Saccharomyces cerevisiae S288C: one gene and its partners. Changing the gene in region 1 together with any one later gene gives a genetic interaction. Each region holds a gene or a part of one and is shown on either strand. Other genes may lie near its edges. The genes, in order: EXP1, SPS2, KIN2 and RQT4.

What was found.
Region 2: mutations in EXP1 (region 1) and SPS2 together harm fitness more than expected from each alone (negative genetic interaction), as found in Saccharomyces cerevisiae (2 studies listed by BioGRID).
Region 3: mutations in EXP1 (region 1) and KIN2 together harm fitness more than expected from each alone (negative genetic interaction), as found in Saccharomyces cerevisiae (3 studies listed by BioGRID).
Region 4: mutations in EXP1 (region 1) and RQT4 together harm fitness more than expected from each alone (negative genetic interaction), as found in Saccharomyces cerevisiae (2 studies listed by BioGRID).

What each region holds. Positions count from the first base shown.
Region 1 is NC_001136.10:240,970-247,506, reverse strand, and holds EXP1 (Exp1p), read left to right. Parts: upstream 1-1,924; coding exon 1,925-2,374; downstream 2,375-6,537. Other genes in the region: HEM25 (Hem25p), read left to right, coding at 1-818; YFH1 (ferroxidase), read right to left, coding at 1,060-1,584; ubiquitin-specific protease UBP1, read right to left, coding at 2,526-4,955; SNA4 (Sna4p), read right to left, coding at 5,667-6,089; YDL124W (aldo-keto reductase superfamily protein), read right to left, coding at 6,310-6,537. UniProt on the Saccharomyces cerevisiae protein: Specific cargo receptor protein for the plasma membrane ATPase PMA1 that acts with PSG1 to promote the transport and maturation of PMA1.
Region 2 is NC_001136.10:1,481,372-1,488,679, reverse strand, and holds SPS2 (Sps2p), read left to right. Parts: upstream 1-3,376; coding exon 3,377-4,885; downstream 4,886-7,308. Other genes in the region: GTPase-activating protein AGE1, read left to right, coding at 1-1,138; putative serine/threonine protein kinase SPS1, read left to right, coding at 1,642-3,114; URC2 (Urc2p), read left to right, coding at 5,277-7,308. UniProt on the Saccharomyces cerevisiae protein: Involved in middle stages of meiosis. Redundant with SPS22 for the organization of the beta-glucan layer of the spore wall.
Region 3 is NC_001144.5:328,799-337,954, forward strand, and holds KIN2 (serine/threonine protein kinase KIN2), read left to right. Parts: upstream 1-3,791; coding exon 3,792-7,235; downstream 7,236-9,156. Other genes in the region: GIS3 (Gis3p), read right to left, coding at 1-440; IOC2 (Ioc2p), read right to left, coding at 879-3,317; SCF ubiquitin ligase complex subunit HRT3, read right to left, coding at 7,433-8,467; CHA4 (Cha4p), read right to left, coding at 8,729-9,156.
Region 4 is NC_001143.9:480,099-487,450, reverse strand, and holds RQT4 (Rqt4p), read right to left. Parts: upstream 4,033-7,352; coding exon 2,440-4,032; downstream 1-2,439. Other genes in the region: DBP7 (putative ATP-dependent RNA helicase), read left to right, coding at 79-2,307; NTR2 (Ntr2p), read left to right, coding at 4,312-5,280; ALY1 (Aly1p), read right to left, coding at 5,470-7,352.

The DNA of each region.
Region 1 (6,537 bases):
CGAGAATCCAGCAAGACAAGAAAGCTACATTATGGAAAAATTTGAAAGAGATAGACAGCCCTCTACAGCTATGGAGAGGTACATTACCTTCAGCATTACGAACATCAATAGGCAGCGCCTTATATTTATCATGTTTGAACCTTATGCGCTCATCTTTGGCAAAGAGGAGGAATGCTGTGCCTTCATTAACAAACGATTCAAACATTGTATATAACAAGAGCAGTAGCTTACCACGATTAACGATGTATGAAAATTTACTAACAGGTGCATTTGCAAGAGGTTTGGTAGGTTATATAACCATGCCTATCACCGTCATTAAAGTCCGTTATGAGTCTACTCTGTACAATTACTCCAGTTTAAAGGAGGCAATTACCCATATATATACTAAGGAAGGACTTTTTGGATTTTTCAGAGGGTTTGGAGCTACTTGTTTAAGAGACGCTCCCTATGCAGGTTTGTATGTGCTGCTATATGAAAAATCGAAACAATTACTGCCCATGGTATTACCTTCTAGGTTTATACATTACAATCCTGAGGGAGGATTTACTACTTATACCTCTACAACAGTAAATACAACAAGCGCCGTACTATCCGCCAGTTTAGCCACCACAGTAACGGCACCGTTCGACACCATAAAAACGAGAATGCAATTGGAACCATCAAAATTTACCAACTCCTTCAATACATTTACATCTATAGTTAAAAATGAAAATGTGCTGAAGTTATTTAGCGGGTTAAGCATGAGGCTGGCAAGAAAGGCCTTCAGTGCAGGTATTGCGTGGGGTATATATGAGGAGTTGGTCAAAAGATTCATGTAAAAAATAGACACATATTTCATTGCAATCTCGCATTCTTCAAAAAAGGTATAAATACGTGTCTTTTTAGTTTCTTTATAGAGTGACGTTGAAGCTTAGTAGTACGTTCATACATACATACATACACACACGGTACAAAAGAAAAATCATATCAATAACAAGGAAGAGAGACTCTAACTATGAAATAGATTGGATGCGTTACAAGTGTTTAAATAAATATAAGAGAGTCGATGGATAAGTGCACTTATTGGCTTTTAGAAATGGCCTTCTCAACTTCTTCAGTAAGTATATCTGTTAGCTTTGTGCCATTTCTTAACGAAACCCACTCCCCATTGAGAAGGTCAAATCTGTTAGGCCCGGACAATGGTGATGCCAACCAAATTTGCTTATTTGGAGGCTGTTTGTTTATTACATACGTTCCAAAAGCTGGAATTTCCAATGTCATTACGCCATGGCTTAGCTCTACATCAGGTATACAATCCGGATGAGCCTCACTCAGTTCTTCTAAGCTATCTAGTAAATGGTCTAGGTAGTCATCTGCCTCTTCATGGTATTTTTCAAGCGGTAAGTTTAACACTTCTTGAGGCACAACTTGACCATCTGTCGAGGATTCTACAAATCTCTTCTGAAAAGTATTTACAGTATGATTCTTTTTATTTGTTACAGCTGGACAAAATCTGGCACGTTCTCCTCCTGCCGCTGCTATCATATATCTTCTGCCCATTACAGAGCTGACTCGAACTAAACTTGCGAGAGACCGCTTAATCATTGCTACACTCTATCTTCTCGCTTAGTTTTTTTTGAAATACTATCTTTCTGGTATTCAGTAGTACGTAACGATTTGTAAGTGTCTTCAAGCGAGGTTGCTTTCAATTAAAAATGCGATTCAAAGAGATCATTTACGGTTACTAATCCCTCATATCCTATAGGGCTATGTGGACATTGTAAGAAACGTGACTTTTCAAATATGATCACTGAATACGGTTTTTTGAAATTTGTCAAGTGCGATGAGTTGTATCTCTAAATCAAGCACCCATGATCTACGTTTAGTAAAAGAAAAGGACGAATTCCCTTAAAGTTCTCGGTGCCTAAGTCAATAAGTCCGGAGCATGAATCTATACGGTTATTTTTTACTTCTCATTATTGTGATTGCTTTCATTGCATTGTTGCCATTGTTTTCTGGCATCGGTACATTCAAACTAACAAAACCGAAATCGTCTGCAACAGCACAGTCAGCGACTGGTAAGCTTGGTAAGAGGGAATATTTGAAAAAAAAACTTGATCATACCAATGTATTAAAGTTTGATCTGAAGGACACGGAGGAAAGCCTTGGCCATGACAGTGCAAGTGCCTCTTCCGCTTCCAGAAAATTTGAAATAGACTCAAAGACAGGCCTTAAAAGACGTGTAATTGGACAGTACAACAAAGATCCAAATGATTTCGATTTCGATATTGATGACCTAATTAACGAAGATGAACTAGATGAACGGAGAGAAGAAGAGAAAAAGTTGAAGAAGTACAATGGTAAGAAAAATGAAGCTTACGAAGGATTTGTATAATAATGGAAGTGATTTTTGCAATTGTCCTACAAAAACTTTAGACATTCGTAACTAGCTAAACAATTGATTTAACGAATAACGTAGACTTTTAATTATTCAATTTAATTATAGTTATTGTTATTTACACAATTACGGATATCGTATTTATAACTTAGTTTACATCTTTACCAGAAATATCTCTATGGTCTTCTGTTCTCTCGAACTTCATCTGCTCTTGACCTTCCTCTTGCTCTTCACCTTCTCCTTGCTCTTGGCTTTCCTTTGGCTCCTGGACTCCTTTTTGCTCCTGCTCTTTTTCATCATCTTCTTCATTATTACTCTGAATAGCTTCCAAATCATCCTTCATCTTCCCAGTTTCTTCATCAAAGTCATATTCGTAAAATAACATAAATACACCGGGTGTTGAAAGGACTTCAGCTTCGTCCACAACGTACACAGTCTCATCAGATATTCTCCACCAACAACCCCTGTATTTTCTAAATGCAATGTAATGACCATAATTATGGGTACCGTAGTGAACAATGACAGAGCGCAATGAATATGTCAATGGAGTGGCTGGAACTGTGGAAAATGACCTAGCATAATTGATAGGTGGAGCTGGTATAACATCTTCCTCATCAGATGATGTTTCTAGTTGATCTTCAACATTGATCTTTGGTTCGTCAAGGCTCACATTGTCGATTTCTTGCAGTTCTTCATTATCTTTTACATTCTCGTTTTCAACATCAGAATGTTCTATGATCCTTTTTTTGATTGTATTCCCTAAAGCATCGGTTTCTTCAATGTACTCATCTTCATCATCGGATGTCACGCCATCGACTTCACCGTTTAGGGGATCATAGTTACTGATATCCTTGGTATGATTGTAATGAGACGCATAGTTCCCCTCTGCGTCATCGTATTCTTTTTCTTCCTCGCTGTCTTCAAATTCCTGCTCGAAGCGTTCATGTAATTTCGTATAGTATTCACCGCCAATGTTTTCATCTTCACTTGAATCTTGTTGCGCAGCTTTTTCCTTTTTTGACATTGGCAAACGAGCATCCAAATTGATTTCATTAATATCACAACACCATGGGGCAAGATTCAACCTTGACTTAAACAATACTTTCGAGTTATTTTTTCTAATCATGTACGTTCTTGGATCAAATACGGATCTGTTGATATGAATGGATAATAATGGTGGAGGTCTTGATATTAAAATCTGCTTAGATTTAGAGCATTTACGTACCATATTTGCTGTATGCAACTTCTTATAATCTTCATCGTCAATAACTGGTTTGGCAAGAACTTCTTCGATTTGATGGACCCTATCTTTTACAGCGTTAATTAACTTTTCTGGGATCGAACCCTCAGGTTTTTTTTCAAATTCTTTCAACTGACCAAATAAATGAGAGTGCGCTGCTGTGAGGGCACAACGGTTACATTCTACGCCTTCGATGATTTCAGGTTTACTCCAGTCGCTTAATAACTGAGATAATTTTAAAGTGGAACCAATATTCTCGTTCGGTAAATTTAAGCTTAATCCCGAAAATACGGAATATCTTATGCCACCGTTCTCACCACACTGTAAACAACCAATTCTTTCTGCCGTGATACCATCTAAAGGAGTCATTAGTTTGAAAGGTGTGAAATTTTGAATGGACTTGTCATGTAGTATAGAGTTAGGATCAATCTGTTCAGTTGGAATGTAAACAGTGCCAACTTCACCAAGGTTAAGTTGACCTACTAAAGCATCATCGGGTAATTCTGATTTCGCAACTGGAGTGGTATCTAGTTTTTCAGTATTCAATGATTTAACGTTACTTTCCAACTCGGCTAGTATGTTCTGGAAGAATTCTTGCGCGTCCTCTTGGTCGTAGCCAAGAAGAATATTTTTTCTTGGAGATTTGGACATTGCTTTCAATAAACTATTGGTTTTGAAATAGGGTTTATCCCGATAATACTTCGCATTTAAGGCAGAAAGTAGATCCCTTAAGGCGACACTGAAAGTGATATCTGGCTCCTGGCTCTTTTCTTCGTCTTCTTTCGAACTTGACTTCCTATTCAATTTCTTCTTATGCTTACCATAAACTTTGCCACCCTTACGAGTGTTTTTCTTATGAGTGGCTTCATCTTGAGCAGATTCTTGCCCGTTTCCTTCTTCATTGTGTTCATTTTGTTCTATCTCCTCATAGGTCCTTATGACATTATTGTCCAAGAACTCCATTAATTCTCTGGATGATGCCAATGATTGCAAAACAGAGTTCATAAAACAAGTGTTACCATCATTAACTAAACCAGCAATGAAACCACCTCTTTTCAAGATCTCTTCGTCTAAGTGGGTAAACTTACTTCTGGGCAACCAACGGCTAAGGCTATTATTATTTCTGAAGTTTGTTGTCATTTCACTAACGCTCTCAACAATGTAGTTTAGATGGTCTGGTTTTTTATAAAAAAATACTACTATGCCAAAAATTAATAAATAAATCGATAGATTGTTATTGTTGTTACTCCAAGTTTTAAAATTTCTCAAAAAATCCTGTCGGGAACCAAATAAAAATTGTAATAAACTGTTTATCTTGCTTTCAATAAACAAATCCATACAAAATTTTGTAGATTAAAAGGGGAGAAGTGTTCGAAAGTATCTAGTTTCGAACAAGGGAGGGCACTGAAGACGTAAAATGATCAGACGTTATAATGGAAAAGAAAGGAGAAGCGAATTTTGACAATCGCTTCTATTCTTTGAATGTGTATAAAATTTTTTTTTCCTGAGAAAAAAAAGGACGCAGATCACAATATTAAAAGCAATACTATGGCGTGCTTTTAAAGCAAAAAATGTTTCTGTTTTTTAAATATATAACCAATAATTATTGTATAATAGATTTAACTAGCCTGGCCATCTTGAAAATTTTGTGGTGCTAGTGAAAAATGTATTTTCGTTTTCCAATGATGGAAAAAGAAACTTGCCTACATAGATGTCATTCTGTACGTAAAGAGGAAAAGAAGGGATATAGCAGAATACACGTATGAAGGTAGGAAGGTTTCCAACAGGCGCTTACTGGTAGTATGATATATGGACATTCAGTGACGTTTATGGGAAAAACATTACGGCTTACAGATCCGCAAAATAGTTATAGGCTCGAGGGAGCTGGCGGTATTGATCGAAGAAGCTGTCAAAATGAAATACATTTCTTAATGGCAGCTCTTTTACTTTGACTGGCAAACCTCTTTGCTAAGGAAGATCATAGGAAAGAGAAGAACGGTCTTCGCTTGCTTGCTTGCTGGAATTTTCATTTTCCTTGCTGTAGCTTCATCATGGCACATAAGGAGGAGGAGACTCAACCAGAGACTGTTTGTTGTCATGGGGAGCTGCGCCTTGTAACAGAGGAGTTTCAACGCTCGGGTATACGTTTCTAGCGGAGCTTCCTTGTTGTGGGCGGTTTTGGGGGGTCTGCGAGTTTTGAGGACGATTCGAAGGAACGTTTCTTTCGCTATCCACCCAGCCTTGCTGGTAATAATAGACGTATTCAGCGTTCCTTAAAGGACTTGTAATTGTGATGTAGTAGAATGCGTGTAACATACCGGGCAAAAATCCCAGTAGCGTTAGCAATACATTCAGGAGGAAATCAGATGAACAAGGCCCAGATCGAAGAAGGACTGCAGCTGGGGGGAAAAAAAACGCAACAATATACAGTATAAAGTCAGAAACGGTACAACAAACACAGTAGCAACACATGATGCGCGTCCCTATCTGTCTCTGCTCAGTGTGGCACCTTTATTGGGGAGATGCCCTCTTCCGGTATTTTTTGATGGCCTTTTATATAATGTACAGCCCTTTTTTCTTCCTCGATGCTGAAAAGTGGCGGGATGGGTAACGGGGTGATAAACCTGACAAAAAAAGTCGATTAATAAAGTTATACAAAACAAATATGACTCGTACATAAATTATCCGGTATTTATACTTTTTGAGCAGCGTAGTTGTATTTACCGTACAATTTATTCCAATACAATCTTAGCGGTTCATGTTCCAAGCCCAACTCCGTTATCTTATCGACTTCCTCAGCCGTCAAGTCGAAAGAGAATAAATTTTGCGCGTCAGAAATTCTTTGAGGTTTGGAAGAGGTGGTTACAGGCAACACGCCACGTTTGGTCACCCAACGTAGGATAATTTGGGCTTCAGATTT
Region 2 (7,308 bases), 1.2 Mb from region 1:
ATTTACATATTTATCAACCCGTCTTAGTGGGAGCCAACACAAATCTACGCATTCTCATCACATCAATCATCAAACTCATCCCATTCATAGTAGCAGTAGCAACAGTAATAGTAATAACCGTATTCCTACAAAAACAGATTCCTCCAAACAGCATACACAGCATTTCTCTTTTGCTAATGCGGGAGCCTCCAATAGAGACGAACTGCTATCAATCGTGCGCAAAATTGATAAATCTAATTTGAAGTGTTGTGACTGCGGTAGCACCGCAACAGTAGAATGGGTGTCAATCAATTTATTGTGTATATTGTGTATCAAATGTTCGGGCGTTCATCGATCTCTGGGTTCACATATCTCCAAAATTAGATCTTTAACGCTGGATAATTTCACCTCGTTAGAGTTGATGCATCTTTTACAAAATAATGTTTCCAATAGTAATGTTAATGCCATTTATGAAAGCAATCTCAGGAACTTTCCAGTTAAAAAAATAACTGCAAATTCTGATGACTCGGAAAGATCCAAATTCATTATTGATAAGTATCAATTTAAAAAGTTTGTTATCGACAGCAACCAAGGCAGAGAGGCTTCTTTGAAGTCTTTAATTAAAGCTATCCATTTAGATAGTGTTTTCATGATGCAAAGAGCCATCGCCCAAAGTAAATATTCCCTAAGAGAATTGACGGCAAGCGAAAAAGAGCAGAATGATCTAAACCATTCTTCCATTTTTCAATATTCCCTAAAGCACTATGAAATTGTTGATGGAACGCCCATTTTTTTTATTACAGAATTTTTATTGTGCAATGGTATTCATATAGATAATTTACCGAAGATTACTACGAATTGGTCTCCAAAGGTTTTAGAATATTGGGAAACTAAGTTGGAGATGTACGGAACATTCCAAGCTGTAAATACTTCTCGTCCAAGATCAGGGCCGCATTTAAATATGCATTCAAATGTAGATTCAGCTTCGTCCTACAATAAGAAACACGATTTGAGAGTTAACATACCTGAAAGAAGTGCCTCAGCAAGTAAAAGGTGGAGTTTGAGCTCCATTCCTAAGTCTTCTCAAAATTTGATGTCCCCAACAAACTTATTAACAATGCATAAGTCTTTAAAATTGGCCAAAAAGGACAAAAAATAACATATATGATAATTTAACTGTATTTTTTTCCCTTTTCTAATACTTTTTCCTCAAGTTATATTTCGGAGCTGTCCCAGGTTCGGAACAATGCGGCATCAGGGATAAAAAAAAATGACACATAAAAACGAAAAAGACACAAATTCCATTTTTTTTTTTTGACGCGAAAGAATGACACTACTTTCTTCTATTGTAACCATTTCTAACATCGATATTTTACTTGTTAGTTCAGATATATACTAAAGAGTCACTTAATATACTGTTTTTGTTTATTATCTTGGTTCCAACTGCTTCATTTAATATTTCCTATCCAAAAAAAGCCAGCTAATTCTCTTCTTTTTTTTTCTTATTTTGCCATTTTCAATATTATCGATTTAGTGAACACCTGGCTAGTCAGTTGTCTTAGCAAACATTTCTCAAAAGAAAGCAAACCAGCATTTGCTTTTTAAATTTAGTTTTTTTACTAGCTAATTCATTTACTAAACAACAAAAGAAAATAGCACAAAATGGAAAGCAAAGAAATATCAATTAGGTCAAGAACCCCTCCATCGAAGCTATATTCCATCCAATCATGTATTGGCAGAGGTAACTTTGGTGATGTGTATAAAGCAGTGGATAGAGTTACGCAAGAAATTGTGGCAATTAAGGTGGTCAACCTGGAGCATTCCGACGAAGACATTGAACTGTTAGCACAGGAAATTTTTTTTCTGGCGGAATTGAAATCTCCTCTTATTACAAACTATATTGCAACAATGTTAGAAGATGTCTCTATGTGGATTGTCATGGAATATTGCGGCGGTGGATCATGTTCAGATTTACTGAAGCGAAGTTACGTCAACGGTTTGCCTGAAGAAAAAGTTTCCTTCATTATTCATGAAGTCACCTTGGGTTTGAAATACCTGCATGAGCAAAGGAAAATTCATCGTGATATCAAAGCAGCTAATATTTTACTAAATGAAGAAGGTATGGTTAAGTTGGGTGATTTCGGAGTAAGTGGCCACATTCGTTCCACTTTGAAAAGGGACACTTTTGTAGGAACGCCGTATTGGATGGCTCCGGAAGTTGTTTGCTGCGAAGTTGATGGGTATAATGAGAAAGCAGATATATGGTCCTTGGGTATCACCACCTATGAGTTACTCAAGGGCTTACCCCCATTATCTAAATATGATCCTATGAAAGTTATGACTAACTTACCAAAAAGGAAGCCTCCAAAATTACAAGGTCCCTTTTCGGATGCAGCAAAGGATTTCGTAGCTGGTTGTCTTGTTAAAACACCTGCTGATCGGCCATCGGCATATAACTTGTTATCATTTGAATTTGTTAAGAATATCACCATAACGAACTTGAAAAGTGATGTTGATCTAATTAAACAGAAAAAGGTTCAGGAGAGATATACAAAAGTTCCCAAATACCCTCTTCAAAATCGCTTGTATAAAAACAGCAACACAGTGAGGGGAAAGGAATTTTGGAATTTTGAATCGACAAGACTAAGCACAACACAAATTTCCAAAGAGGAATTATCTCCCATTACACAAGACTCTCCAACATCATCTTTAAATATGGAAAGTCCTTATTTACTTCATGGGCAAACTGTAACGCCGATAACCAACCCAAGTTCTTCATCATTTAGAAAATGTACGCAACCAGTTTTCGAGCTTGATTCAGGAATGGATATAGATTCAGGCTGCCCAAATGCTCAAGCAGAGACCGAAATAGTTCCTCTCTCTAATCATAATAAGAAGCATAAAAAGAACGATATTCAGGCGTTGAAGATAGAAAAGTTTGACTACTTGAAAAACATTGTATCTCATATTCTCAACAGAATGTATGATCGTGCGCGCGACGATGAAACAAGAAAATACGTAAATGAAATGTTAAAGCAATTCATTAAAACTGAGGCAAACGTTCCTGGATTTAATGAGGTTTTTATAGAAGAGATCTCACTAAGAATTGAAGCAATAAAGAAAGGATTCGTTTAAAAAAATAGATATATATATATAATGTGTGTATATGCATGAGTTTTTGTTTTCCATTCTCTTTCATCTTCAATAAATGAAGGATGGATATATTGAATTATATAACAAACAGTAAAAAGTCATGTGTTTTTGATTATTTACCTGCTTATTTCTCCCTTTTTTTTTCGATTCTTTTTTTCTGATCGAGCGTTTATGTCTTTACTGTCCCGTCATTGATGCGTCTCAAAAAAAATATTTTGTGGCATTACTTAGACTATAAAAGAAAATGCCAATTTGGAAAACACAAACATTCTTCACTAGTATTTCTGTTATTCAAATAGTCAATAAAGAAACCAAAGTTTCTACAAAAAAAGAAAAGGATAGCATGTTGAACCAGTTGAACACAATCTTAAGATTTTTATTCTTGTTTCTGCAGTTAATTAAATCATCCGCTGCAGTTGAACCTAATGGTGGACCGAATATTCTAGATCACAACATTATGTTGGTTAACACTAATGCAACGATCCCTAAAAAGGAACAAACTGATTTTGAGGTGATTTCTCCAACAAAACAAACACAAGTAGATGAAGACTGTAAAAAAGGCTTGTATCATATTGAGAATGCTGGAAATTTGATTGAACTGCAAGCTAAATGTTGGAAAGTGGTAGGAAACATTGAAATATCAAGTAACTACAGCGGATCTCTTATTGATCTAGGGTTAATAAGAGAGATAGAGGGAGATCTTATTATCAAGAATAACAAACACATTTTTAGAATCCAGGGTTATAATTTAGAGTCTTTGGGAAAGTTGGAATTGGATAGCCTAACTTCCTTTGTATCATTAGACTTTCCCGCTTTAAAAGAAGTTGAAACCGTTGATTGGAGAGTTTTGCCTATTCTAAGTAGTGTTGTCATTAACGGAAATATTAAAAAGATCAAAAATATTATCATATCTGATACTGCATTAACCTCCATCGATTACTTCAATAACGTCAAGAAAGTGGATATTTTCAATATCAACAATAACAGGTTTTTAGAAAATTTATTCGCAAGTTTAGAAAGTGTTACTAAACAACTAACCGTCCACTCTAATGCCAAAGAGCTGGAACTTGATTTGAGCAACTTACACACGGTTGAAAATATGACCATTAAGGACGTTTCAGAAATTAAACTAGCTAAACTTTCCTCTGTGAACAGTTCTCTAGAGTTCATCGAGAATCAATTTTCAAGCTTGGAACTACCACTTTTGGCAAAAGTTCAAGGAACGTTGGGGTTAATAGATAATAAAAATCTGAAAAAGCTAAACTTTTCGAATGCCACCGATATTCAAGGGGGTCTAATGATTGCTAACAATACAGAGCTTGCCAAAATTGATTTCTTCCCCAAGTTGAGGCAAATTGGCGGTGCAATATATTTTGAAGGTAGCTTTGATAAAATTGACCTCCCAGAGCTAAAGTTAGTAAAAGGTAGCGCTTATATCAAAAGTTCATCTGAGGAATTAAACTGTGAAGAATTTACATCACCAAAAGCCGGTCGTTCGATCATAAGAGGCGGTAAAATCGAATGCACATCTGGTATGAAAAGTAAAATGCTGAATGTTGATGAAGAGGGGAATGTACTAGGAAAGCAGGAAACTGACAATGATAATGGAAAGAAAGAAAAAGGAAAAAATGGTGCAAAAAGTCAAGGAAGTTCAAAGAAGATGGAAAACAGTGCTCCGAAGAACATTTTTATTGATGCTTTCAAAATGTCAGTTTATGCAGTTTTCACGGTATTGTTCTCGATAATTTTTTAGGTTAGAAGATTAACTTAAATACTAGCCATTTTATTTAGTTCTTATGAGATATAAATTTGCAGTAGAGATGTAGTGTTCTGATTATCTTCACCTGGAGCATAGCGTAGCCCACTTAGCATCAGCTTTTTATGTTATTTCAGGCATTACCAAAACTGGTTAAACTATTGAAACTGTTACCCTCCTTTTAATTTTGACAGTTTTTGAATAATTATTATGGTAGATCATCTTAACAAAATGAGCTCATTAGGTAGATGATTTAATTGAAAAATAGTGTTTTGATACGGTTCTTCCTTAGGGTTAAAACCACTCACATTTTGCTTACTCACCATTAAAACATCTTTCCCAGTTGTATTTTATATTTCTTTCGGTTTGCTGAACATCAGGGAAAAAAATGGATATAAACTCAAATGCCTCAGTAAGCCCCAGACCAGATGGTTTACCGATGACTGCTGGATATAATTCTGCTTCTGGAAAGGTGCGAAATAGTATCAGATCCATAATAAACCACCCAGAGGATAGTGCAAGAGCCAAAGAGCGCAGTGAAACGAACAGTCCTAAGAATAATGGCAACAAAAAACCTAGAAAGAAAAGAAAAACATTTAGTTGTGATACTTGCAGGAGAGTGAAGACAAGGTGCGATTTTGAACCTTTCATTGGAAAATGTTACAGATGTAACGTTCTGCAGCTTGATTGCTCCTTAGCCAGGAATAAAGACAATGAAATTTTGAATACTTTACGTGAGGATGGTCTACTAAAGAAGATCAACTCAATTAATCACAACCTTGGTTCTTTCTCTCATTTGAATGCGGACTCTCCCAACGAAAGCCAAAGTAGTTTTGAAAAGAATGGAACGGTCAATTTTGATAATTACATGATCGATAAAAGGCTTTCATCTTTAGAAGAGCACATAAAATCTTTACACCAGAAAATGGACTTGATAATCACCACAGCAAAGATGTCTTATAACAGCGATATCAAAGGCCCTGGAGATGATATTCAGAACGTGGATTTCAGCTCAAATAAGACGTACGATAGTCGTCTAACTTCGGGCTCAGAGACGATAAGGAAAACAGGGGAATATAGAAAAGAAAATCTTTTCTTAAATGGATTTAAGTTGAAGGAATCTCCTTTAAAATTGCTACATGATATTGATGAGAGGCTATTTCCATCGAAGGCTACATCTAAAGCTGCGAAGCTAGCTGGACAGCAAAGGCCATATGCTGTTGCAAGAGTGAACTTTCTCCATTTTTATGAGAATAATCAGGAATTATGCCATAAGCTTGCAAAAGAATTTCTGGTGAGATCCCATTTCTGGATAATTCCAGGTGGGAGAAAAGAGATAGACGTGGAATATGCCCACTCACACCTATTTATTACAAGTGTTTTTACTATTATCGCTATGAGTTTTGCTGACAACGATAAATACGCTGCAGAACAAGAAATATTGTATCCTTTAGTGGAGAGATTACTCACTAATACGTTAACCATGTTTGAAAAGTTAACAGCGTTTGATATTGAGGCTATTTTATATTGCTGTATGTTCCATATTTCGCGAAAGGCAAAGAGATATAGGCAACTGAAGTTTAATTCTCTGGTACTAAGCAATTTTGCGCTCAATAGCTTGTTACATGTAATAGATTTTTATCAGATAAAGGATAGGGTTTTGGTAAAAGAAGTGTATAATCCCGAAGATCTTTATCATCTAAGAATACTAAATTCACTAACTGCCTGCTATTTAGAATATTCCATTAGTTACGGCGATATTAGGGAACAGGATGATATGCTTAAAGAGTTTAATAAACTTGTGGCGAAATTTCCTCAGGCGAATTTTGGTGATGACATTAAAATCAGTGAGATAAATTTAGGTGACATCGTAAATGGCATCTTTATAAACCTTAAAAATTATTTTGCGCAGTGTTTGGATGACTTTAACAATGACAGATATGGAGGTAACGCAGATACTTTTATCTTTGTTTTTCCAGAGCTAAATTATTGGCTGAAAAATTGGGAAGAGCTTTTAGCAAAGGATGGCGCGGGCGTGCTATTGTTCACATTTGATTTTTATCATATCATGATATGTCGCACTTTTATCACAGAATTTTCTTCCACGCTAAAAAGCAACCAAAGGTTTTTGAAACTAATTCTTAATACGATGAAAGAACATTCATTTTCGCTGTTGAATGGGTTTTTGAGACTACCGCCAACGTTAATAAGGGGTGCTCCGATTTTTACTTGTCATCAACTAGTCTACGCCTGTTTAACTCTTTGTGACTATCTTTATTGGTTCGATTCTTCTGAACGTCAACGCGTTTTGAGTCTTTGTACAAAAGTGTACTGGCATTTGAGCACTATAGGGGAAAAAATGAATGAGGCTACTGATAACGTTGGAAAAATCATAAAATCTATAATTGATACTAGTAAGA
Region 3 (9,156 bases), on another chromosome or scaffold:
GTCTTGGCGGAATTTGTTTTCCTAACTTGCGACATGACCGAGCTTAAGGACGGGGTCATCAAAGATGAGCGATTTTCGTTCAGCAGTTCGGAATCGTCTCGAGCCTTCAGTATTCTAGTCCTCTTGAAGCTATTCCTCTTGGTTAGTGTTCTAGTACGTTCAGCGCTTCCTTGACCATCGAACTGCGGCTTAGTGGAGTGGAAATAAATCTCATCGCTCACCGTCCTATTACTTGTGGCGGTCTTGTTCATGCTGGCGCTGGCTAACTTGTTATTCTTCTTATTAGTAGCGGTAGCGTAAAATGACTTGGGATAAAATACCTTTGATGAGTCGCTCCATGAGTGCAATGCGCCATCATCACGTATGCTTTTGATGAGGCAATGTTCATGCACATGAGCATCGTGCATTAGTGTGTGATTTGTGTTCACGTCCAGCAGCATTCTATAATTATGTCTTGTTGAAAGTGTTCTGTATGTTCGTGTCTATCCAAAGAAACAAGTAATTGAGAAAACTAGCCATCAAATACTTGTGAAGAAGCGAGTTTCCATTCTCTGTTTCACTCGTTTGGCGTTCTCACCATCCCACTTTTATTTCATTGGCTTTTTTAACACAATAAGGCGCCTTCAGCACCTTTGCCGCGCATTAAGGATGGCCACTGACGAAAAACCGGATAAAAAAAGACGAAAAAATGCCGTCTGACCCTAGTCAGGAGCCGCCTCATACACCCTAATTATTTTGGCGCTAAGCCCTAAGCATCATTATTACCCGACATGAAGCGACAGAAGCCCTACGGATGTGCGGCTGGAAAAGAAAGTTTCATGAAGAACCAGTTGATATATATTTTACTATATACTTTTGCTGTGTATTTCTATATGAGGCTAGTTGGTTGGTGGGAACTGGAAGTGAAAGTTCTGTTCTTTAGGGTGCAGCGGTTGCTGTTGCTGTTGCTGTTGCTGTTGCTGCTGTGGTTGGATTGATGCTTGTGATGTTTGTGGTGCCTGTGGTGCTTGTGGTACAGTTTTGCTGCCAGTTTGCTGCGAGTATGTAATTATGGGGTGAGCGGCATTTACATTAGGTGCTGGATTGATGGCTGGATTTGTTTTTTCGTAAGCGGCGATACTAGGCGTTGTGCTACTTGACATGTTTGCAAATGCATTATTAAACACTGGAGGTGAGACAGACTCGGTTAGTTCCCTTTTCTTTGCAAGCTCTTCGAGCCTTTTCTTTTCTTCCTTCATTTTTTTTCTTCTTTCACGGTCTTCCTGTTGTTTTCTTTGTTTGGCCCTTATTATTTTCAATTCAGGCACAAAAATGTTGCGCAGCTCAAGTTCCAAGTCCCTGATGCACCAAGCGCAGATAAAAGTGGAGCATTCAGACAGCGGTTTGCGTTTATCAGTAGGTCTTGAAGACTTGGTGCTGGGTTCAAGTGTGGATTGGGGTCTGCGAGAAGACCTTCTATTGCCGTGCGAATTTCCCATTATGATGACGCCAAAATCACGTTGCGACAGCGTGTGCTGTGGGGATTTTGTGGTTGAAGATATAAGCTCTATAATTTTTGGAGGTTGGCATTCCCAATGCTGCCACCTGTAACAATGATCACAGCATATCAATGGGCGGTTATTGAAGAGGTCAGTCTCCGTGTCTTCGGTGATAATCATGGGCGCCAGCTCTGGTTCGCCCGGACATTGGAAAACAGAATCTTGGTTGTCGGGCTCTTGCTGCGGAGTAAAGATCCCGTAGTTGGCAAGCTCATCTAGCTCTTCCTTTGTTATGCAGAAGTCACTAGGCAATTCAGGGACGTCTCCCGTCTGTAGTGGCCCAACAGTTCCAGGAATTGGTGGTTCCACCGGGATTATACTAGATTGAAAGTTAGGGCCGTGATCAAGAACTCCGATATCGATTTCATTTAAGGGATTGTCCTCCTCCCTGCCCAAAGACGTTTCAAAAAACGGTGTACCAGAACCACTTCTATCTTTGAGCTCGTTACGCCTGGTCAATTTTTCATCTCTATAATCTTGATCGTACAATTGCCACAATTGGTTCCAAAGAAGATCTTTTATCTTTTTGATTTCCTTCGACACTAGCTTGTTTCTGTGCCTTATAAATTGTTCTCTTTCATCTAGTTTTTCAAACCACTCACTTTCCAAGTCTTTTTTCTTGTTTTCTTCCTCTTTCGCTACCAGTCTCGAAGATCTTTTCCTCCTTGTCATTAGCTCCGCAATTGCTCTCTCCTTTTCTCTGTTGGCCAAAAGTTTTGCCGAATATAGTCTATGTTCGGCATACACCGGTATTAAGTTAGTTATGAACTCATCTATGGCTTTCGAACTTTTATTCTCTGACCAGTATTCTAGCATGGACCCCCAATTAGTTGTAATCACATCATAATCAATTGTAATCGATTGAAGATATGCATCGATATCGTGAGAGTACTCGAGATGAATAAGCTCCACTGAATCAGGAATGTCTGGGTCGCTTTCTTTTATAGTACAGTTCTGTAGTTTTATTGGGATATTCAGAGTTTGAGAGACTTGGGAGGAAGAGCCTTCTTTTACTCTGTGAATGGTTTTCTTTACGAGTACACCAACATTGGGTAAGGCAAACAAGCTCTTCATTTCCTCCCCTCCACTATTATCATCATCCAGTATAACTTCACTAAACGTAAACAGATGCAAGTTATTCGCTAAGTAGTTTTTGAAGATCATATTTTTCATTTCAATTAATTTTATGATACTGTAAATGATGTCGAATTGGCGTGCAATTTCAAGCTCCAAAAAAGGTAAGTCCGTAACCAAATCTGAATACGCGCTCGAGTTTTGCAAGTGATGGTTAACTATAACATTCCAATCTTTCAATTGCCCGCTTTTATTTCCCGCTAATTGATGCAATAATTGCAATCTAATTCTGTCGTACAAATTTTGCGATCCTTCATCTACGTCGACTTCATCATTGTAATAGTTCGAGTCCTTCCCGTCTATCTTCGAAAATACGTCAGTTACAAATACACCTTCATCGAATTTGATATTCTTCCACAAGCATTTGGTAGAGCTACCGCCATACTGGTCAGTATTAAATGTCGTTGTAGTATATGATTCGCAGACATTGGAAAGCCAAGCCATCACATACTGGAAGTGCCAGTGATTGGCCAAGTCCGCGATCTTCTCATCTAATATTTCAGAATACGGCAGCTGGTGCTTGTTCAATTGGGCTATTATGTCTTCGGAGACATATTCTTTCCAGTCTTCACTATCCGCATTCGCAGCGCCGGCAGGCATGCTCGCTCCTACATTTCTTGTACCCCTAGTTCTCTTCGTTCTCATCGATCGCTGATTCACCGCTTTGTATCTATATATGATTAGCCAGTGTGTATGAGTAAAATAGAGCAATTGATCTAGTTTCTTAGTCGTGTCACTATTGAATAAATAAATGTTAATGTTGCTGGAAAGGAAGAATTATGTCACTTTTGACGCTCTCGCATTCCGTGTGCGGTGATAGCGGTAACTTGGTCTAGCAACGAAAATTTAAAAAGGTTGGAAAAGGAAAAGAAGAGCTCAAGTGGACCTAGAAGTCCTGCTTTGCCACCGTTTAAGCAAGGAATAGAGCACGCCGTTGACACAAATTCACAGTCAAGGACGGGCCACGAGAACTTTATTACAAAATATACTGCATTACACGAAATTCAGCGGAACTCTGAGCGCGAACAGCATTAGGTACCGAGAAACGCTTTTCAAAAGAAATTTCTAAAAGTTTTATTGTGCCATTAATATCGCGGCTCAATTGTTAAGTATTTCACTATGCCTAATCCGAATACAGCAGATTACTTGGTGAATCCAAATTTCAGGACCAGTAAGGGCGGATCTTTATCGCCGACGCCAGAAGCTTTCAACGACACGCGAGTTGCTGCACCAGCCACTCTTCGCATGATGGGCAAGCAATCTGGACCAAGAAATGACCAGCAACAAGCACCACTGATGCCTCCTGCAGATATCAAACAGGGCAAGGAACAGGCAGCTCAGAGACAAAATGATGCATCGAGGCCTAATGGCGCCGTGGAATTAAGGCAATTTCATAGAAGATCTTTGGGAGATTGGGAGTTCCTTGAAACGGTTGGCGCAGGCTCTATGGGTAAAGTTAAATTGGTCAAGCATCGTCAAACAAAGGAAATTTGTGTAATAAAGATTGTTAATAGGGCTTCCAAGGCTTATCTCCATAAACAGCACTCTTTACCTTCCCCAAAGAATGAGAGTGAGATATTAGAAAGACAAAAGCGGTTAGAAAAAGAAATTGCGAGGGATAAAAGGACTGTTAGGGAAGCCTCTTTGGGCCAAATCCTTTACCATCCTCATATCTGTCGTTTATTTGAAATGTGCACTATGTCAAACCATTTTTATATGCTTTTTGAATACGTTTCCGGTGGACAGCTGTTAGATTATATTATTCAGCATGGCTCATTAAAGGAACACCATGCGAGGAAATTTGCCAGAGGTATAGCTAGTGCGCTGCAATACTTACATGCCAATAATATTGTTCATCGAGATCTGAAAATTGAGAATATAATGATATCTAGTTCAGGTGAAATTAAGATCATTGATTTTGGTCTTTCCAACATTTTTGATTATAGGAAACAATTACATACGTTTTGTGGTTCCTTGTACTTTGCAGCACCAGAACTATTAAAAGCGCAGCCATACACAGGACCTGAGGTAGATATTTGGTCGTTTGGTATTGTTCTTTATGTCTTGGTCTGCGGTAAAGTACCATTTGATGATGAGAACTCAAGCATTTTACATGAAAAAATAAAAAAAGGTAAAGTAGACTATCCTTCACACTTATCCATTGAAGTTATATCTTTATTAACCAGGATGATTGTTGTCGACCCATTAAGAAGAGCAACATTAAAGAATGTCGTTGAGCATCCATGGATGAACAGAGGATACGATTTTAAGGCTCCATCATATGTTCCTAATCGTGTTCCATTAACCCCTGAAATGATAGATAGCCAAGTTCTGAAGGAAATGTATCGCCTAGAATTTATTGACGATATTGAAGATACAAGAAGATCATTGATCCGATTAGTAACTGAAAAGGAATACATCCAACTTTCCCAAGAATACTGGGACAAATTATCCAACGCCAAGGGGTTGAGTTCAAGTTTAAATAATAACTACCTAAATTCAACGGCACAACAAACCTTAATACAAAATCATATTACAAGTAATCCATCGCAAAGTGGTTATAATGAACCAGATAGTAATTTTGAAGATCCTACTTTAGCATATCATCCATTACTATCAATATATCACTTGGTTTCAGAAATGGTTGCACGGAAATTAGCGAAGTTGCAAAGAAGGCAAGCATTGGCCCTGCAAGCGCAAGCTCAGCAAAGGCAACAACAGCAACAAGTAGCACTTGGCACTAAGGTCGCCTTAAATAATAACTCCCCGGATATTATGACCAAAATGAGGAGCCCTCAGAAAGAAGTAGTACCTAATCCTGGTATTTTTCAAGTGCCGGCAATTGGAACATCGGGAACCTCAAACAACACTAATACCTCAAACAAACCTCCACTGCATGTAATGGTTCCTCCTAAACTAACAATACCGGAACAAGCGCATACTTCTCCAACATCTAGGAAGAGTTCCGACATTCATACGGAATTAAATGGTGTTTTGAAATCAACACCAGTCCCCGTGTCTGGCGAATATCAGCAACGTTCTGCTTCACCCGTAGTAGGTGAACATCAGGAAAAGAATACAATAGGCGGCATATTCAGAAGAATATCACAAAGTGGACAATCTCAGCATCCCACACGGCAACAGGAACCTCTTCCAGAAAGAGAACCTCCAACATATATGTCAAAATCAAATGAAATTTCCATCAAAGTACCGAAAAGCCATAGTCGTACTATATCAGATTATATTCCTAGCGCTAGAAGATATCCATCTTACGTGCCAAATTCTGTTGATGTAAAACAGAAACCCGCTAAAAACACTACCATAGCACCTCCTATAAGGTCAGTATCACAAAAGCAAAACAGTGATCTTCCAGCTTTACCTCAGAACGCCGAACTAATTGTTCAAAAACAACGGCAAAAACTATTACAGGAAAATCTCGACAAATTACAAATTAATGATAATGATAACAACAATGTGAACGCTGTAGTCGATGGTATCAATAATGATAATAGTGACCATTATCTCTCCGTTCCGAAGGGTCGTAAGTTACATCCTAGTGCAAGGGCTAAATCGGTGGGGCATGCTCGTCGTGAATCTTTGAAATTTACTAGGCCGCCTATACCAGCAGCCCTTCCGCCATCAGATATGACAAACGATAACGGCTTTTTGGGAGAGGCAAACAAGGAGAGATACAATCCTGTTAGCAGTAACTTTTCGACCGTTCCTGAAGATTCTACCACATACAGTAACGATACTAACAATAGACTGACTTCGGTGTATTCTCAGGAGCTTACTGAGAAGCAAATTTTGGAGGAAGCTTCAAAGGCACCCCCCGGGTCTATGCCATCAATTGATTATCCAAAGTCAATGTTTTTGAAGGGTTTTTTCTCTGTACAAACAACCTCCTCTAAACCATTGCCTATTGTTCGTCACAATATCATATCTGTTTTAACAAGAATGAATATTGATTTCAAAGAAGTGAAAGGCGGGTTCATATGTGTCCAACAAAGGCCATCTATTGAGACTGCAGCTGTCCCTGTTATAACCACTACTGGCGTGGGTTTGGATTCCGGAAAGGCGATGGATCTGCAAAATAGTTTAGACAGTCAATTATCATCCAGTTACCATAGTACAGCGTCCTCAGCATCAAGAAATAGTTCGATAAAACGCCAAGGTTCTTATAAGAGGGGCCAGAATAATATACCACTAACACCTTTAGCGACCAATACACATCAAAGAAATTCATCTATCCCAATGTCTCCAAACTACGGAAACCAAAGTAATGGTACATCAGGGGAACTATCTTCCATGTCATTAGATTATGTTCAACAACAGGATGATATTTTAACAACATCAAGAGCCCAAAATATAAATAACGTAAATGGTCAAACAGAGCAAACCAATACTTCTGGTATAAAAGAAAGGCCTCCTATTAAATTTGAGATTCACATTGTAAAGGTTCGTATCGTCGGCCTAGCAGGTGTACATTTCAAAAAGGTTTCTGGTAATACGTGGCTATATAAAGAATTGGCATCGTATATTTTAAAAGAATTAAACCTATAGATACGTTGTTCTTACTAAATATTTCAACGTGTGTCTTTCAATTTTTATTATCTAATATTTATCTTTTTTTAATATTATAGTATAATTTATTTAAGCTGAGATCTGCTTTCTTTAATCTTTCATATGATGAAATAATAGTTCTACATAAATCTATAAGAATAATAAATAAAGTAAAACAACTGCAAAAAACATCGATGTCATCCAGGATCCTTGAAAGATTTCACTCTGGAGAAGAAAAAAGATTTCTCATTTCTCAACGAACAGTTAGATGCATTCCCTTCCTTATCCACTACAATTGAACTTAGCCATTTCAACCGTTGATATCTCTTATTGCCTTGATTCTTGATTTGGAATTCTTCGATAAACGTATACTTTTCATCTGACCTTGTTATCTTTAAATGACCAAAATCATAATCAAATCCGAGGCTCCAATAACACATATGACTATGCCTGGGTTTGTTCTCTTTGGAGAAGTGCTTCACGACAGCGCTAGGTTCATCTGTAGAAAGTAATCTCAAACATTGGCCGTTCTCATAAAATCTGAAATACCTGTAATAGGTGATCATGTGAACTGGCTTTAAAAGAGATAACGAACTTTCTGCATTGGAACCGTATCTTACATAATTTACTACACTGATGTAAACACCTTCGAATTTAATATATGGCCTTTCCCTTAACATACGATAATCATCACCCCGCCATATTTCCTTTTCAAAGGTATTTATATCGGTGATTCCGTTAAGATCCATTGCCATTTTGTCGTATATTTGCTTAGAATATATGTACTTCGCGAAAGTTTTAAATGGCACAGAATCGTGGAAGCAAAGCTTGCTAAAGGTGGAACAAGTCATCGACAAATTCACCCAAGATTCACCAGACATTAATATAACTTTTTTAATAATTCTCAGTAAAATGTCGTCAGGCAAGATTTCCAGAATCCAGCAGGGTTGAAGTTCAGCATTTTCTTCAACAGATAAGTCATCTTTACCGGTTTCATTTTGTTCATCTGGAGCATCAGTAGTCATTGATAATCCCGATAGTTTTTTGTGCAGCATCCACTCATCAAGTATTTTTTTTCTGTACAGTGATTCCACATTATCATGGATTTTCAATGCACTTCGATAGAAGTTTATAGCATCTGACATTGACCCATCCTTCTCTTTCAGTACACCTTTTTCCCAAATAGCAATAGCCTCTTTAGCCCTAGGGTCCTTTTCATAATCTACTATCATTTGCTCCTTGAGTTTAGCTTATGGAACACATGTGTCGTCGCCAAAGATGATGGGGAATGTTTGCTTTTATCTTGCTCAGTCGATTTCGCTATCTAGGAACTACAATCCTTTTTTTTGTCATTTGGAAGGCTCTTTAAAATTCCGAATCGATAAGTTCGGAGGTGGGAAAGGATAGCGGTATATTCCTTCCCAAATAAAAAGGCTACAAACACATTACATAAAGAATATTTGTTCAAGTAAACATATCCTCTTCACTCAAGATTACTTCGACAAACCATCATTGGTGTTTCCACCAATCAGCATATCAATCTCATTCAATAAAGTAAAGTCAAAATTGTACTCTAAGGCAAAATCGTTACCGTGAGATAGAGTCCCTAATAAATCCATAGTTTCTGAATTATGCAAAGCATCTTCAGAGTTTTCTATGAATTTTCTAGCAAGTTCGTAATTCAGGGTAGGCGCACTTAAAAAATTTAAGAAGTCTTGTTTTCTATCCTTTTTAATCAAGTTGGACTTCATGCATTGGATGGCTAAAATCGCAGAATAAATCATGTAAATTGTGGCCTTCTCAAACGTCTTAAATTTATTTTTCCAAACTTTTAAAAGATAATACAGTTCATCAACATAACCTTCAACCAATTCCCGGCTTTGTTTGATTTCGTATATGAAAGGTTTATTATAGGAAATTA
Region 4 (7,352 bases), on another chromosome or scaffold:
ACGATTGTTTATATTCTTTTTCCTTTGGGATTATTCATATTCCAAATAAGCATACTTATTCAGCAATTTAACACCAAGATGAGCGATGAAGATTCTATGCTGTTAAACTTCACTACCAATGAGGACACTGCAGGAAGTTCCTATAAGCAAGCTGCCAAGGTGACAGGCGGTAGATGGAAGGATAGAAGAAGAATGAAAATGAAGCTTGAGGGCAAGACAGTCTCGAGGAAAAGAAAGGCGAACACTACAGGGGACGAAGGGATAATTCCGGGTAGAGGCGAGAATTCTATTAAAAAATTGCATAAGGAGAGTTCCTATAGTTCTGAAGAGCAGGAAAAATATAAGGGTAGAAATGCTCATAACACTCAAGGGAGAACTCTACCAGCCGATTCTCAGTTTGTTTCATCCCTGTTTACATCTAACAGAGAGATTACAACTGCGGTAAACACTAATATTCATGATGAAAACGTTGCCATCAATCCGTCTAACGCGCCCTTGAAAGGTGATCAGTTTGCGTCTTTAGGTGTCTCTAGTCTTCTTGTTTCTCATCTGGAGCAAAAAATGCGTATTAAAAAGCCTACGAGCATCCAGAAGCAGGCCATACCTCAAATAATAGGTAACGCGGGGAAGAACGATTTTTTCATTCACGCCCAAACAGGCTCAGGTAAGACTTTATCGTATCTTTTACCTATAATATCTACTATTTTGAACATGGATACTCATGTTGATCGTACTTCTGGTGCATTTGCATTGGTTATTGCTCCTACACGAGAACTAGCATCACAAATATATCATGTTTGTTCCACGCTTGTGTCATGTTGTCACTACTTGGTCCCATGTTTATTGATTGGTGGAGAACGTAAGAAATCAGAAAAAGCTAGATTGCGTAAGGGTTGCAATTTCATAATCGGTACACCAGGTCGTGTTTTGGATCATTTACAAAATACAAAAGTTATCAAGGAGCAATTGAGTCAATCTCTAAGGTATATCGTATTGGATGAAGGAGATAAGTTAATGGAATTGGGTTTTGATGAGACGATCAGTGAAATTATTAAAATTGTTCACGATATTCCCATCAACTCCGAAAAATTTCCCAAGCTACCGCATAAGTTAGTGCACATGTTATGTAGTGCTACACTTACTGATGGTGTTAATAGGTTAAGAAACGTGGCGTTGAAAGATTACAAATTGATTAGCAACGGTACCAAGAAAGATTCTGATATAGTAACGGTTGCGCCCGATCAACTATTGCAGAGGATTACTATTGTCCCACCAAAGTTGCGTCTTGTAACATTAGCTGCTACTTTGAACAACATTACCAAAGATTTCATCGCTTCCGGTCAACAGTCCAAAACGCTGCGTACAATCGTATTCGTATCATGTTCAGACAGCGTGGAGTTTCATTATGACGCATTTTCAGGAAGTGACGGGCACCATAAAAATCTAACGGGTGATTCTGTAAGACTATTGACAAAAGGAAACACTATGTTTCCTTGTTTTTCAGATTCTAGGGACCCAGATGTAGTGATTTATAAATTGCACGGTTCTTTATCCCAACAAATGAGAACCTCTACATTGCAGCATTTTGCTCGTGATAATGAAGCCACCAAGGGAAAACATCTTATTATGTTCTGTACAGATGTCGCAAGTAGAGGCCTAGACCTTCCCCACGTTGGATCTGTTATTGAGTTGGATCCACCATTTGCTGTTGAAGACCATTTACATAGAGTTGGTCGTACAGCAAGGGCCGGTGAGAAGGGTGAAAGTTTGTTATTTTTACTTCCTGGCGAAGAAGAAAAATATATGGACTATATCCAGCCGTATCATCCGATGGGTTGGGAATTACTGAAATTCGATAAAGAAATACTAATGCCGGCTTTCAAAGATGTGAATGTCAACAGAAATGATAAATTCATTAGAAAAGATGAGAAATCGTCCAAAAATAAAGACGTGGGCGATAAAGAATATGAGTGGGATACCAATGCTACGACATGGCATTTGAATATAGAAAGACGAGTAGTGGGAGATTCCGCATTCAAAAATTTGGCCGTTAAAGGTTTCATTAGTCATGTGAGGGCTTACGCAACGCATATCTCTCAAGAAAAGAAGTTTTTCAACGTGAAGTTCTTACATCTAGGCCATTTAGCTAAAAGTTTTGGGTTACGTGAAAGGCCAAAGGCTATGGGATTGCAAAGTAGTAAGGATGGTAATAGTGAAAAGAAGCCAACTAAGGAAAACTCTAAAAATAAAATGTTTCGTATGGCTCGTATGGCAGAGAAGCAAATAGCAAGTGAGTTTAACTACTAAATAGACAAGAACAAGCATTAATTCATATAAAAAAAAATTGTATACTATGAAGACAAAGAAAATGATAAAATCTACAGAAAATGAATAACGGTTATATCCTCTATCATATATAATATAAACTTTTACCATTCATCAAAGTACAGCAAGAATATTCTGTTCTACTGATGCGTCTGCATTTTGGTCCACTTGTACTCTTGACTTTAAATCATAAGCTTGCATGTCGTGAGCCTTTTCTTCCGTTTTTCTATTCTGTTGTGCAGTATCTGAATTTTTTTTCACATACGTAGGCCTATCGAATTGTTTTTTATCACGTTCGTAATCCCATGCTTTGGACTGTAAATGCAAATTCTCCAAGGATTTCGTTGTATTTATTTCACTTTTCAGAGCGTGTATATGTTTAAGGTCGCTGATATCTTCTTCGTCACTTATATCACTGATGTCATCATCTGAACCTGCAATTACGTTCTCTGTATCCTTAGGGACTTCTGTCATAGTAACTTTACCGTTTGAACCTATATTCATGCTAACAACGTACTTCTCGCGCCTGCCATTCCGTTCCTTTTCTACTTTTTCCCACTTTCTCAAATTACGTTGTTGCTTCTTCAACGCAAGAGCTCTTTCTCTTGCGCTGCCCCATAAACCCACCTCCTGATTCATGTCAAAATCGCTGGCATTATCAATAATTTTTGTTCTTTCTGCCGAAGTGTCTTGGAAATATAAAAGTCTATCTAATCGTTCTTGTGCTGCTAACAACTCCGGGTTTTCCTCAGCTTTATGGTCATGCTCGCTCGCTTGTCTTTCCTTTGCTTCGCTCTCTTCTTTTTCCTCCTGCAATTTCAACACTTCATTACGCTTTCTTTCTCTTTCTCTTTTCCTTTCGATGAAATCAAATAATTTGTCCTGTTCAGCAAATAAATTTTTACCCATACCGGAAGTTATTTTGTAGGTTTTAGTCTTCTTCTTTGGGACATTAGCTCCATTTGACGCATTGGATAAGGACGATGATGAACCGTTTAGTTCGTTTTTTTCCTGATTTAAAATTTCTACCATTTGGGTTCTTTCGTTATCAGAAATCAACTGTTCATGGCAATGACCGCATTTACCTTTATTCAATCCCTCTATAACACAAACCACTTTACCACAGTGAAGACAGTTTGGCGCGATGTCGAAAACTGGATGCCTTGTACCTTGACAATTACAATTTTTAGAAGAACCGCTATCTCGAAGCTCTAGCATCTTGATTGCTTCGTCTATTTCTTGTAACGATTGTAATTTCCCCTTTGATCTGTGCTCTTTTTTCTCCTTTATGGGGTTTGATTGCGTAGATTGATTTGATGGTTGAACGGTAGGCCTCGTTGTCGAGCTTTTCTTCTCATCCTTTAATTTTTTTGGTTTTTCATCTCCCTTCTTATTGATATAGTTATTAGTGGGCTGTTTTGATTCATTTTTCCATGAAGTGGGGGCAGTATGTTCAAGATGCACATTTTTCGTTTTTTTTTCCTCTTTTTTATCATTCTGATTCAATAATTCATTGAACTTCATTACAAATTCAAACGATAGATCTTCATGACCTAGGAACTCCAAAAATTTTGAAGCAATTTGTTCTGGATCATCAGATGATGTACTCAGTACTTGTTCGCACAGCGCTTTTACATCAGACTCTTCCAAAGGCAATATTTGCGGAACTTGTTTGATTGCATAGTCAATAGCCTGCTTTCTTGTCATTATTAATTACTGCAAACCCAAGGTTAAATAATTAAGCCACTGTTTCTCGGACTACGTTCACTTTGCCATTATTTGCTGCTGCCAGGCTCTTTATGCCTCTTTCTTGCTGTATAATATTTCAATATTTGTCCGATACCCGGCAAGCGAAGATCATAAAGAATATCGAAATGAACCTCATAACTGAAAGCAATCATCATAAATTTGTGCTTTGAAGAAGCAATATAACTGGTCGAGTTACGTCAAGTTCTGCCTAGCAATGTTATAGCATTTGAACACATTATGGCGATCAAGAAAAGAAATAAAATTAGGTTACCAAGTGGTTCTCCTGAGGAGGTTGGAATTGATGGTTCTGCGCATAAGCCAATGCAGCAAATTAAGCCCCTAGTGTCGAACGATTCTGAAGATGATGACAACGACATTTGTGTATTACAACCAATAAAGTTTAAAAAAGTTCCTAAGCGCGACATTACCTTTGATGGCGAACAAGCAATAAAGGAGGATAATTCGCATTATGAAGATCTTTACCATTCAAAGAAAAATACCAATGCATCGACGCGAAACAAAGATGATTTGCTAATTCTCAATATGGAGGACTTGATGGAGGGGAATCATCATCTATTAAGTGATTCTTCAGAGGCTGGCAGTAGCTCCGAAGGTGAGCACATTAGTAGTATACCAACCCGAGGAGAAATTGCAAAACTGAAAGCACAGAAGTCATTATCTAGAAGGAAAATTAGTGAGAGTGATGTTACAACAGAAAGAGATTATGTAAAATTGTTGGACAGTGAGGATAAACGCGAAATTATGGAGACAATAAGATTAAATGGTGGTCTGAAACGTAACAATGAAAAGGAGATTACGAACTTCAGTGACGATGAAATGCAAGGCTTTCAAGACGAAATGCTAGCCCTCACGGATAATCAAATTGCTATTCAAAAGGATTCTAAAAGAAAGATTATAGAGAAGGCCATAAATGAAGTGCCCTACAGAACTAATGAAGAATGGGAAACCCAGCTTTTAAGCAAAGGAAATATAAACAAATCGAATGAGAAAATCATCACGCCCTTACCGGTACTTTTCCCAGACGATGATGAAAGTGGGAACAGCATTGAGAGAATAAACGAGATGGTTTCGAAGATCTGCTTGCAAAGGAAGAAGGTTGAGATGAGGTTGCAAGCGTTAGAAAAAACAAAAATTGACTTGGAAAAATCTAAAGCAAGCCTAATAAATAAGCTCATTGGTAACTGAACGTTAATCATGTTATTTTTTTAATCGCTGTACTATTAAAAAGGGATATCTTTACGACAAGTGATATGGATGTATAGATTGATGGTGTATATTTGTATACTATAAAATGTCCAATATATTGTACACTATTGAATCACAGGACACAAAGTAAAATGGTAGCAATTCTGTCGGAGAATGAAAATAATGTACTTATTTTCTCTTTTCGCGAAATGCTTTCTTAAAGTCGTCCAGTACACGGTTTTCACTAGCAACGTTAACCGAGTAGGCTGCTGGGTCAACATGGTTCTTGCTTACCTCCCAATCAAATTTGGAATCTGATGACATTCTTGGATCATAAAATGCTGTAATATCGACTGAAGAATCCACTGTATCTTCTGGATTATCAACTCTGTTATTACTATTGCTGTTTGATTGTATGACGTTATCATTAATTTTAAGTATTGGTAGTTTCTTATTGAAATTTAATGATTGGCTTTTGGGAAAGGCATCTTCGTCACTACTGCCTAGCATCTGGTTTATGTCATTGAAATGCTGATTGTTCTGTCTTATTGTACTAGGTAACACTGATGTTGCGTGTAGACTGGCACGATTTTTTTTTCTCCCATCAAGACTCATGTTTAAAGACTGCAAAATAGGAGTGTGTGAATTAACGTTCTCACTCGGAGCACTGGTTGACAGCTTGAAGTTGAAACCAGATGCTATATCGCCATCATTGTCATCTTCGTCGGATAAGTCATCAATTTGAGACCAACCATTGAATGAGTCCTCCTCAATGCTGGCCAATGTCTCTCTAGATTTGTTTAGTTTTAGTTCAGGAATTTTAGATGAACTTGTATCGTAGTATGGCAATTCAATCCCATCGGCCTTTAATACATCAAAATATGATGGAGGATCCACAGGAATAGCATGAGAATCGGCTGCGCCGCGCTTAGCTAGATCAAAATCAAAATCTGGAGGCGGGGAGTTTGATAATGGTTGGTAATTGAGAATTGGTGAGGTGATGGGCGATAATGGTAACGCCTGAGGAGAAGTTAATTCTCTTGGAATCTGATTGGGCTTATAAATGTTTGCGACCAGCTGTTTGGATGCGAAGACATTGCTACTTTGATCATTCTTCTTGGAGGTATTATCTGACTTGCTTTTCTTTACGCTTTCAGCTCTATTACGCACTACTGGAAGATCAGACGGTATTCTAATGTTCATCTTCTGCACGTTAGGTGAAAGAACGGGAGACGAAAGAACTTCTTTTGGGAAGAAAATATTGGAATCATGATGACTTGCGTAATTTTGTTGATCTGCTGCTGGTGCGAAATTACCATCTTCATCACAATACTGGAAATGACTCTCGTAGCTCGGTAGCAAAGTATTCGCGTGTGAGCATAGTTGATTTAAAATATGGATTGGAGAATCAATACTTATTTCGAAATGTTTTCTATTGTCCCCGTACTTCTTGGAAAGACGAAGGCAAATTTTTATCCAATGGTGGGCTTTGATTTTATCATAATTTGTATCAGGGTGTAACCGTATACTGTTTGTAAACTTGCTTGGGACAAACACCTCGAACTGAAAATCTTTGTTAACTAGATCGCCGGATTTTTCATCCAAGAGGATGTTCCCTCTATTTTTAGCCTTCAAAGGATTCGAACCAGCTGGTATATGAGGCAGTTTAGGACCGTTATGTTCAGCCAACAGAAACTTTTTAGTTGGCTCTAATCTACGAGCCTTCTCGTGATTTCCATTACTATTACAAGTGTATTCCATAGACTCTGTTAGATAAATTCTAATACGATGCAGAGTAACTTTATCTAGAGGAGCGAAATGGAAATCGATGGGTAAAAATGCATTCAAAACGATCTCTTTCGAGAAAATTACCACGTCATAATGAAGAAGATCTTTCCAGTCCTTGGAAATTGCAATAGCTTCAGTCTCTTCTACGGATCCATCAGAAGGAAGCCTTACGACTTTGATGGGTAATTGAGTATGTATAGTTGATTTGAATGCGCCAAACCTCTCTATGTCTATTGACAGTTTATACTCCACGGAACCAAAATTGGCTTTTATACTTTCTGGAT